2 linked regions of the Tribolium castaneum genome follow. The protein of the gene in region 1 binds, or shares a complex with, the protein of each later gene. Links are inferred from orthologs where the notes say so. Each region holds a gene or a part of one and is shown in the gene's direction. Other genes may lie near its edges.

Evidence for each region.
Region 2: the proteins of Dcr-1 (region 1) and RISC-loading complex subunit tarbp2 are in contact, whole or in part, in a cryo-EM structure (PDB 8DGJ), measured with the Drosophila melanogaster proteins. The link is inferred for Tribolium castaneum from reciprocal best matches to the Drosophila melanogaster genes Dcr-1 and loqs. Residues at the interface, in NP_524453.1 of Drosophila melanogaster: His245, Phe248, Asp251, His252, Arg253, Asp255, Glu258, Ile259, His303, Tyr306, Gln307, Glu310, Lys311, Lys313, Arg320, Leu323, Cys326, Leu327, Ser329, Thr330, Ile333, Gln334, Tyr336, Ser337, Leu338, Glu340, His341; in NP_609646.1 of Drosophila melanogaster: Thr358, Gln359, His360, Ser361, Lys363, Val364, Phe367, His368, Lys372, Ile414, Glu415, Glu416, Lys417, Thr418, Phe419, Gln422, Gln424, Pro433, Val434, Gly435, Val436, His438, Ser440, Asn454, Tyr458, Ile461, Met462, Lys464, Lys465.

The regions. Positions count from the first base shown.
Region 1 is NC_087403.1:8,547,334-8,551,634, reverse strand, and holds the start of Dcr-1 (endoribonuclease Dcr-1), read left to right. Parts: upstream 1-1,386; 5' UTR 1,387-1,510; intron 1,511-1,571; 5' UTR 1,572-1,602; coding exon 1,603-2,871; intron 2,872-4,009; coding exon 4,010-4,301. UniProt on the Drosophila melanogaster protein: Endoribonuclease which functions in microRNA- (miRNA) gene silencing and, independently of its ribonuclease III activity, also acts in the short interfering RNA- (siRNA) gene silencing pathway.
Region 2 is NC_087395.1:26,693,573-26,697,833, forward strand, and holds the start of RISC-loading complex subunit tarbp2, read left to right. Parts: upstream 1-1,214; 5' UTR 1,215-1,359; intron 1,360-1,653; exon of another isoform or gene 1,654-1,661; 5' UTR 1,662-1,732; coding exon 1,733-1,759; intron 1,760-1,876; coding exon 1,877-2,017; intron 2,018-2,072; coding exon 2,073-2,359; intron 2,360-3,266; coding exon 3,267-3,567; intron 3,568-3,782; coding exon 3,783-3,932; intron 3,933-4,000; coding exon 4,001-4,249; 3' UTR 4,250-4,261. Other genes in the region: GATOR2 complex protein WDR24, read right to left, coding at 1-13.

The DNA.
Region 1 (4,301 bases):
TTTATCTGTGTTTTATTAACCATTTCGTTTTTTTTTTATTTTTCCACATATTAGTATCGACTTTGCAGTCAATTGTGATTTGGCACAAGCATGGCTCTTCTTAGGAAACTAGTGCCTTACTCTATGAGAACTCATAGCAATAAAAAACTGTCAAATAAAAAAAAAATCATTTCTAATAGCAATTAAAATGTGTTGAATAAAGTTGTGTATAAACATTAATAAATTGTGAACGGTGTCTTTAAATGCCAGATTCATTGCTGACGACTAAACATATTTCGACTATTCTACACATTAACGGATCAAGAAAAAAAAATGTACATAGTTTCCCCATCTAAGAATTCTACTTTGAAGACACAGAATTAAAGCAAAGTCAAGCCGCAGAAAAAACACTTTTATTTTTTGAAATTCGAGAACTTCAAAATACGAGTGTGCTAAAAAGCTTATTTAAGCAGTTAGGCACGCTTTCTATCTACCAAAAAAAGTGTTTATCACTCATTACCACATAATAAAATATAAGTACAACAACTTTTCTATAAAAGCATTTTGCAAAAGTATTCATTATTTTTACTATTTCCCTCCTTTCCTGTAATAATTGATTCGCCTTTTGGGGGCCATTCTGAACACTGTAATGAATTTTTAAAGATAAAGTTTGCGAAATCGGGAAATTTTAAAGAATCTTTAAAAATTCATTAAAGTTCCAAGGGGTACTTTATGATTTTTTTACAGTCGAAGGCCCTATCGAAGAGCTTAATTTCCTGCAAAAATAAAGAAAATTGCAGGATATAAAGTGGGTGAAGAAAATAAAGTTTGCAAAATAGAGGAACTTTATAAAAATTAAAAAAAATTGTTAAGGTCCCAAGGGTGTTTGTCCGAACATGATTTTTTTACAGTCTCCTGCAAAATAATCTCCTGTAAAAATAAGGAAAATTACATAATATAAAGTAGATGAAAAAAAAAGTTTGCGACATCGGAAAATCTTTAAGAATCTTTAAAAATCCATTTTTACAGTCGAAGGCCCTATCGAAGGACTCTTCTTTTACAAAGATAAAGAAAATTGCAGAATATAAAGGGGGTGAAAAAAAATCAGTTTGCATTGCTTGAATATGAGAATAAAAAATGCAGAAATTAAATACAGTTAAGTTTTAATTTGTAATAGAAACACATTATAATGGTCAGGAGATTTTCTACAAATGTGATATGCAAGTCAGCGTAACAGCTTATTGATGTTTTTATAATGATTTACGATTATTTTGATAAATTTTCTGGTGTGAATTGGCTGCAGAAAACGAGAATGGTGGGGAAATAAATTGTCTGGTCGACTGTAATATTGATGGTGCCAGCACCATTTTTGAACCATGCTCTTCACCGACATTCAATTTTTTTGGAGTGATTGTCAAAACGCTGTCAACTGTCAAAACCCGCTCGGTCTGTGTGGTGTTGTTTGAATCTAAACTGGTATTTTTGTGATAATTTGTATATTCCAAGTGAGAAAAGATGTATCCCGTTGGTGGTGAGACGTCTCTAAGTTAGTTCAATCATAATCAGCAATAATAGCAACGAAAAATGCTTAGATAAGTCCTCCGTTGTGTACAGCACCCCTACATGGCTTGTTATTTAAACGAAAATGTTTACACGCACACGTTTACCCCACGAGAGTATCAAGTGGAGCTGCTGGACAGCGCTAAGAAGCGTAATACAATCGTATGTTCGAGTGCGAGTTCGGCGAAAGCGTTTATAACAATAAAACTGCTGCAAGAGTTCTCCCACAAGATGCGGGTGCCCCACGGAAAGCAGGCTTTATTCGTGCTGGACGGCCCGAACGTCCCGATAATGACGTCGCACGTGAAGCTGCTGACCGATCTGACCGTTACGAGCATAGATAAAGAGGAAAACCCCCCGTCGTTGAAGGCAAGCAATGTGATTGTGACCACAGCCGAAGTCTGTGTGCTTCTATGTAAGAAGAACTTCGTTCATTTGGACAGTTACGCTCTAATCGTGATAGACTGCTTATACGGGGGGCAACAGTCGTTAGTTAGGGAAATTATGGCCCGGTATCAGGCGATTCAAGCGCCCAGACCTCGAATTTTGGGCCTGACTGCCGGTCTTTTGGGCTCCGAGATGCAACCCGATCGTCTAGAAGCCGAATTACAACGCTTAGAAAAATTACTTAGTTCCTCGGTAGACACTTCTAGTGAAATTCTCACGCTGATACGCTTATCTTGTCGGCCGCGCGAACGCATAGTCGAGTGCTTTAAACCCATTCCAAGCCCTTTGCAGGACAAAATCAAGGCCACTATAACCTCCTGTCAGGATTTCCTCAAGGACCACCGCTACGATCCGAGCGAAATCTACGACGATGACTTGCTCGAGGAATTCAAGCAAGTCCCAGACCCCAAGGAACAGCCTTTGAGCTTCTTCGACGACTTCCTCGAAATTCTGGACGATTTGGGGCCCTGGTCGGCCGACAGAGCCGCCTATGGCATGCTTATCAAGATCGAGAAGCTCAAAGTCAAAGTTCCTTACGAAAGACATTATTTATTGTTATGCGTTGCTTCATCAGTATTAGTTTCGATAAGGGCTCTCTGCGAACTCGAATTCCAAGACTACACAGATAAGGAAAAGGTGTTTCGTTTCTCAACGCCGAAAGTACTCAGATTTCTCCAAGTTCTAAAGCAGTTTAAACCGACCGGTGATAAGCCGGAAACTTGCGACAAACTACCAGACCTCAAAGACCCCAAGAAGGGAAAAGGGAAAAACTACAAAGGGCCCCGAAGGCCGTACATCTCGCGCGCGCAAAGCGACGAGATGCTCTGCGCACTCGTTTTCGTCAAAAATCGCTACAAGGCGGAGGCCCTCTTCGCCCTACTGTGTGTAAGTAAAGCAGACGTGTTCCTGTAAGGCTAAGGGGTTGCCCTAAAGTGCCATCGTGTTTTAATGCTGCCTGTCGCAAGGTTTTGCCACAGAACTAACACTAAAATCATAAATTGAAGAAGTACGTTTATTTTGTAACTTATGATCTGTTTAAAAACTACTTTAAAGCCCTTGATGTTTAACACAAAATTAAAACAGGAAAAATATCTGACAACTAATTGTTTGGACTAAAAAAAGGAAAAACTTTCTAGTAGTTCGTGATTTATTTTTTTTGGGGGTTTAATGAGGTCACGACTTCCCACTGGCATACTTTTAATGATCTGTCACAGAATTTTAGCGTTTTTTGTTGCAAATGTGTTCTATTTTATTTTTTAAATCTTTCACCACTGTGGAAGATTTTTAAGATAATTTTTCATTTTGTGCCAAAAAGACACAAGACATATTTAAATCAGGCCTGTTTGCTGACCAAGACATAACATTAATGTGAGAATTACCGAATCATTAGGTATTTCAAATGTTTTGCTGTGTGACAAGAAGCATAATTTTTTTGTATAATTTTTCAGTCGGTGGTAATAAATGTTTTTGCAAAATATATTTGATGGTGTTCATGAACTCAAACCCACACCGTTTACAAACATGTATCATACCATTAGCAAATTTAAGCGTACTTTTGAGACAGTCTTTGTGAAAGATCTCTTGGTTATTTATTACTCGTTTTTGAGAATTGAGAATTTCAGCAGTGAGTAATGTTTTTTTTTCTTGTTAATGATAGTCAATTTTGGTGTTAAATTTCTTAGCGTTTATATATTTAGTTGCCAAGCTCAAGTGGATATATTTACAAAAAACACTAGAGTATTTAGAGAACTGCATAAGTTTGAAGTGATTTTATTTTTCCTTTAAACGTGAAGCATTTACTTCTCTCACTTTTGCTAAGAAATTCTTTTCTTTTGAAAAGAAGAAGCAACGCAAGTCTAGTTTATCTTTAATAGTCTAATGCTATTTTTGTTTATATTTATCTGCTTGACTTCATGGTTTGAACTCGAGCTTCTATTCTTTGGGCAAAATCTTGCGATACTAAGCTGGTCCCCTCAGCCTTAGAAATTGATGGTTTGCCCGCTGATTGTTTGCATTGTGTCAGGTGATGTCAAAGAGCGACGAGGAGTATTGGTGGGTGTCGGTTTCGTTCTCCGTGAATAAGATCGCAGATCCGGTGCGCGAGCCTCGGGAGGCGGAATCCGAGCATAAAAGGCAGGAGGAAGTTTTGCGGAAGTACAGAAGTCACGAATGCAATATAATGATAGCAACGTCGGCGTTAGAACAAGGCTGTGATCTTCCTAAATGTAATTTAGTGATACGTTTCGATTTACCTCAGTCGTTCCATAGCTACATTCATAGTAAAGCGCGAGCGCGCGCAAACGAAGCTCATTTTC
Region 2 (4,261 bases), on another chromosome or scaffold:
GAAATGTAGCCATTGTTTACATATTCTTGACACTTCTTTGATAAAATCCAGCGATTTATAAATTTGACACTGATAAAGTTTAATTTATAATTACTACGTTCAGTCACGCGTTTACTTAGTCATTTTTTATTATAAAGAAATAGTTTTTAGTCATTTTTTTATATTTAACAAAAAAATGCGAGGTTAAAAGGAATAACCTAAAAACGTCAAGTCTGACGTTTCACGTTTCCTAGAAATCAGTAGCTTCCAAACAATTACCAGTTATAGCCATACAATACAACAGAGAAGCAGTACATTTTAATAATCAGAAGGGAAAAAGTGATTGTTATTAAAACATTTTATTTGGGTTAAATAAATGTTACATAACATATTTTTTACTTATCTGGGTGGTGGTGCCACCAAATCATAATTATAATTATCTCCGAGTGTGTAATAATTTTTACCATCATCATCTTTGGCCCAATTATTGAAGGGCGATGGTGGTTGTTTATGAACAACTTTAACAGGGGCAGACTTAAGTCCCATTCTGATGTATCCCACGATTGATGACATAATTAAACTCATAGTACTTAAAAGTATTGCAATGCTTGACATTACGGCCATAGTTTTAAAAGCTAACGGAAAAATAATAGATTTGATCATTAAAGCTCCGAAAAGAAGTGGTACAGTGTATTTGCTGCCACCTCCTTTTTTCTTTTTACGCGCTCCTTCCATTTCTAAAATTTTAAATTAGAAGAATTACACAATAGTATACAGTAACTTTTTTATTAAGTTTTCTTACCATTTGTAGCAATGAAACTGTCGAAGATAATTTCAGAGCTTGGAGAGAATGTTAACAAAAATACAAATACCAAAACAAGCGTTCGTAAACGCATCTTGGTCAGAAATGAGGATCTTGTGTGATTTTTTTACAGTCTAGTTGGTCGTAAATAGGCTAAGAATATGACAATTTTAAAATTACACATTTTTAAATAGTTTTCAAGCGGAAAATTGGGCGATTTGTGATTACTTTGACAAGAGGATGTTAAGAGATGTGTAATTGTAAATAAAATACATCAGTAAAAAGTAAAAATTATTGTTTTTGGATCAAATTTATTATTATTATCTTGCAAATATTAAAAAATAGTGAAATGACCAAAATTCATGTTGGTAACCACATTTTTCGTCGTTTATGGATTTCTAAAAAGAACAAAAGTTGGTAGCAACGAATTCCCGCTAAGTGGCGCTACTGTAGAATGTTACTTCTTCGCATGCGAACTGTTTAACCATTTGACGTTTGTGTCCATCAAAAAACGTCGCCATTACAGTGTTTATAGCGACGATTGTATTTCAAAGTGTAATAAAAAATTCTAAATAATTGTAAGTAATTTTACTGTTTTACATATAATTTTGCTACAATAGAGTTGTGTTGTCTATTGCGAATTATGGGTTGTTAGTGGAATATTTATGAACCTTCTTTACCGGCTCTTTTTACAAAAATTATAATAACAAAAAAATTTGGAGTAAATTTGTATTTTAAGTACCGAAACTAATAGTTTTAGTTAAAAATTTTGACCGTTGCTTTAGGGGTGTGAATGCGAAGGGGTCGCTTTGTTGAAACCGTTACCAGTTTCTCTCTCTTTTCTTTTGTGTTGTTGATTTAAAATCTTTGAGTTGTGTAGGGCGAATGGAATATAATTTGCTCGTTTTCTTCAGTACGGGAAGCGGAAATTAAGGGCCGACAAGCGGCGAGATGTTTGTACCTCCGCCAGTTGAACAGGTAAAGAAATTTAAAAAAATCGAGGATTTGTTATGCCTTTATTCTCGTGGTGATGGTCGGTTTTTTATTCGCGCCAGTTTTCCAATTGTCAAACCTTGCAACGATTTTTCTTTTCAGCAATTTCGCATGGACCCAAATATGACGCTTCTGCATTCCTCAAGTCAAATACACAACGTCCATCCTAGGAGGAAAAACAACAGAAATACTTTACACGGAATGCAGGCTGAACGCTTGTCTCTGAGCGAAGAGGCTAAATTGGTGCGATTTTTCTAATTATTATTATAATTTTTTTTTGATACTAACTGAGTTTTAGGAGATGGCGTCGTTGCCGACCAAAACTCCTGTTTCAGTACTTCAGGAGTTATTAAGTCGTCGTGGGGCGACGCCTAAGTACGAACTAGTCCAAATCGAGGGGGCTATTCACGAACCTATATTCCGCTACAGGGTGTTTATTAATAACGATTTGGTTGCTACTGGAACAGGGAGGTCGAAAAAAGACGCCAAACACGCTGCTGCGAAGAATCTGCTTGATGTTTTGGTCGGCAAACAGAGTCCAGAACAAGCCAACGCTTCTAACGGGACTCCCGGAGCCAACGATATGTAAATAAATCAGCATATAACTACGGAAAACTAAATATTAGGAGGCGAAACGAATTTCAATTTTTTTTTTGGATATCTATTGCTGGTGATTCAATCAAACATAAAATGGAGCTAAAAAACATATTCTTTCCTTTATTGTTGCACATTTTACTATTTTCGAGAAGTTTATGAAATATAGTTAGATTAGTCTGTGAACTACTTGAGGTTTAGTTTAAAATTGATACGAAAATAAGGCTATATTTTGATGAACTTACAAATCACACACATACACACACACACACATACACATGACTTTGCAAAGAAAAGTCGCATATTGTAAGAGAATTTTATGAACTCATTGAAGAACATCACAAGAGTATGTTTTTAAATTTACATTTTCTTTGGCTGATTTTGATCGATTTAGCTTACTTACTATTTAACAAAAATCTTTATAAAAAAACGTTAATGAAAAAGTTGGAATTTTTTAATAGAGTTATTGTCCTTTTTCTGTTGATTTGTTCCACATATTGGCCGATTTGTTAAATGAAAACTTGTCTCATTTAAGAAAATTTCTTTCTTGTTGTCGATACAGTTTGTATTTTTCCTAATGTTTCATTATTTGACAAAATTTATTCTTTAACAAAAAACGCAAATTTAAATCGCAATAATTAATATACTTATACGGTTATTATGTAAATCAAAGCAAATATTTGCAAAAAAATTTATTTACGTAAAATTTGAAAATTTCTTTACGTATTTTACGTAAACTCCCATTTTTTTTGCGTTATATAAATACTGCCAAATTAAATTTACTGCTGTTAAAGAAAACGAAAGGAGAATTTATTTGTACGTCGTGTCGTATCCTAATTTTTAGGTATCCGTACGGCCAATAAATCGCAACGTCTAACATTTGAAATATTGTATTCAGTACAGCTCAAGTGGTGTCTCCGTTTGATGATAAAGTTATGGGGAACCCTATCGGTTGGCTCCAGGAGATGTGCATGTCTCGGAGATGGCCTCCACCGTCCTATGAGATGGAACATGAGGAAGGTCTTCCACACGAACGCCAGTTCACGATAGCTTGTCAAGTGTTAAAATTCAAAGAAGTCGGTACTGGCAAGTCAAAAAAATTAGCTAAAAGAATGGCAGCACACAAAATGTGGCAGGCCCTGCAAGATATGCCTCTAGAGGGCAATAATCTGCCGCAAGGTTACGACGACGATGAAGAGGTAAGACGTTTCTGTTGATTTAGTTTAGTTTTTTCGTTTGGCTTTCCTTCTTCAGACATGGATGCTTTTTGTGTTTGCTTATTGTTAATAAAAAATTGGATCTTGCTGAGGTATTTTTACGATCTTTCAGAGCGCGCTGTACAAAATTGAAATGAATAAAATTCGTAAAAATAATCCCGAGCAAATCTGTCTCAATTCAATGACGTATTTTGTAGTTGGCGGCGAAAATGTGTAACTTACAAGGACGCTACAGTGGTCTGAAAGATAGTAAAATACCGACACTCAACATACAACACACCCAAAAGGTGTCACAGTTTCACAAAGCCCTCAAGCAGTCCAATGGGCCGAAGCTAAAGGAGTTGCAGGTAAACTACTTGATTTAGCAAAAATGCGAAAATTGTATCGTTTTTACATTTGTATAAATCGTTTCCAGAACATAGTTCTCAACAGCAAAGACTTCAACTTCATTCAGTTTTTGCATGAAATTGCGTCCGAGCAACAATTTGAAGTAACTTATGTCGATATAGAGGAGAAAGCACTATCTGGCAAAAGTCAGTGCTTAGTACAGCTTTCTACATTACCGGTAGCGGTGTGTTACGGTGCCGGAGCGACACCGAAGGAAGCGCAATCAGCGGCTGCTTTGAATGCACTCGAATATTTAAGAATAATGAGCAAGAAGTGAATTTCGAGCTTA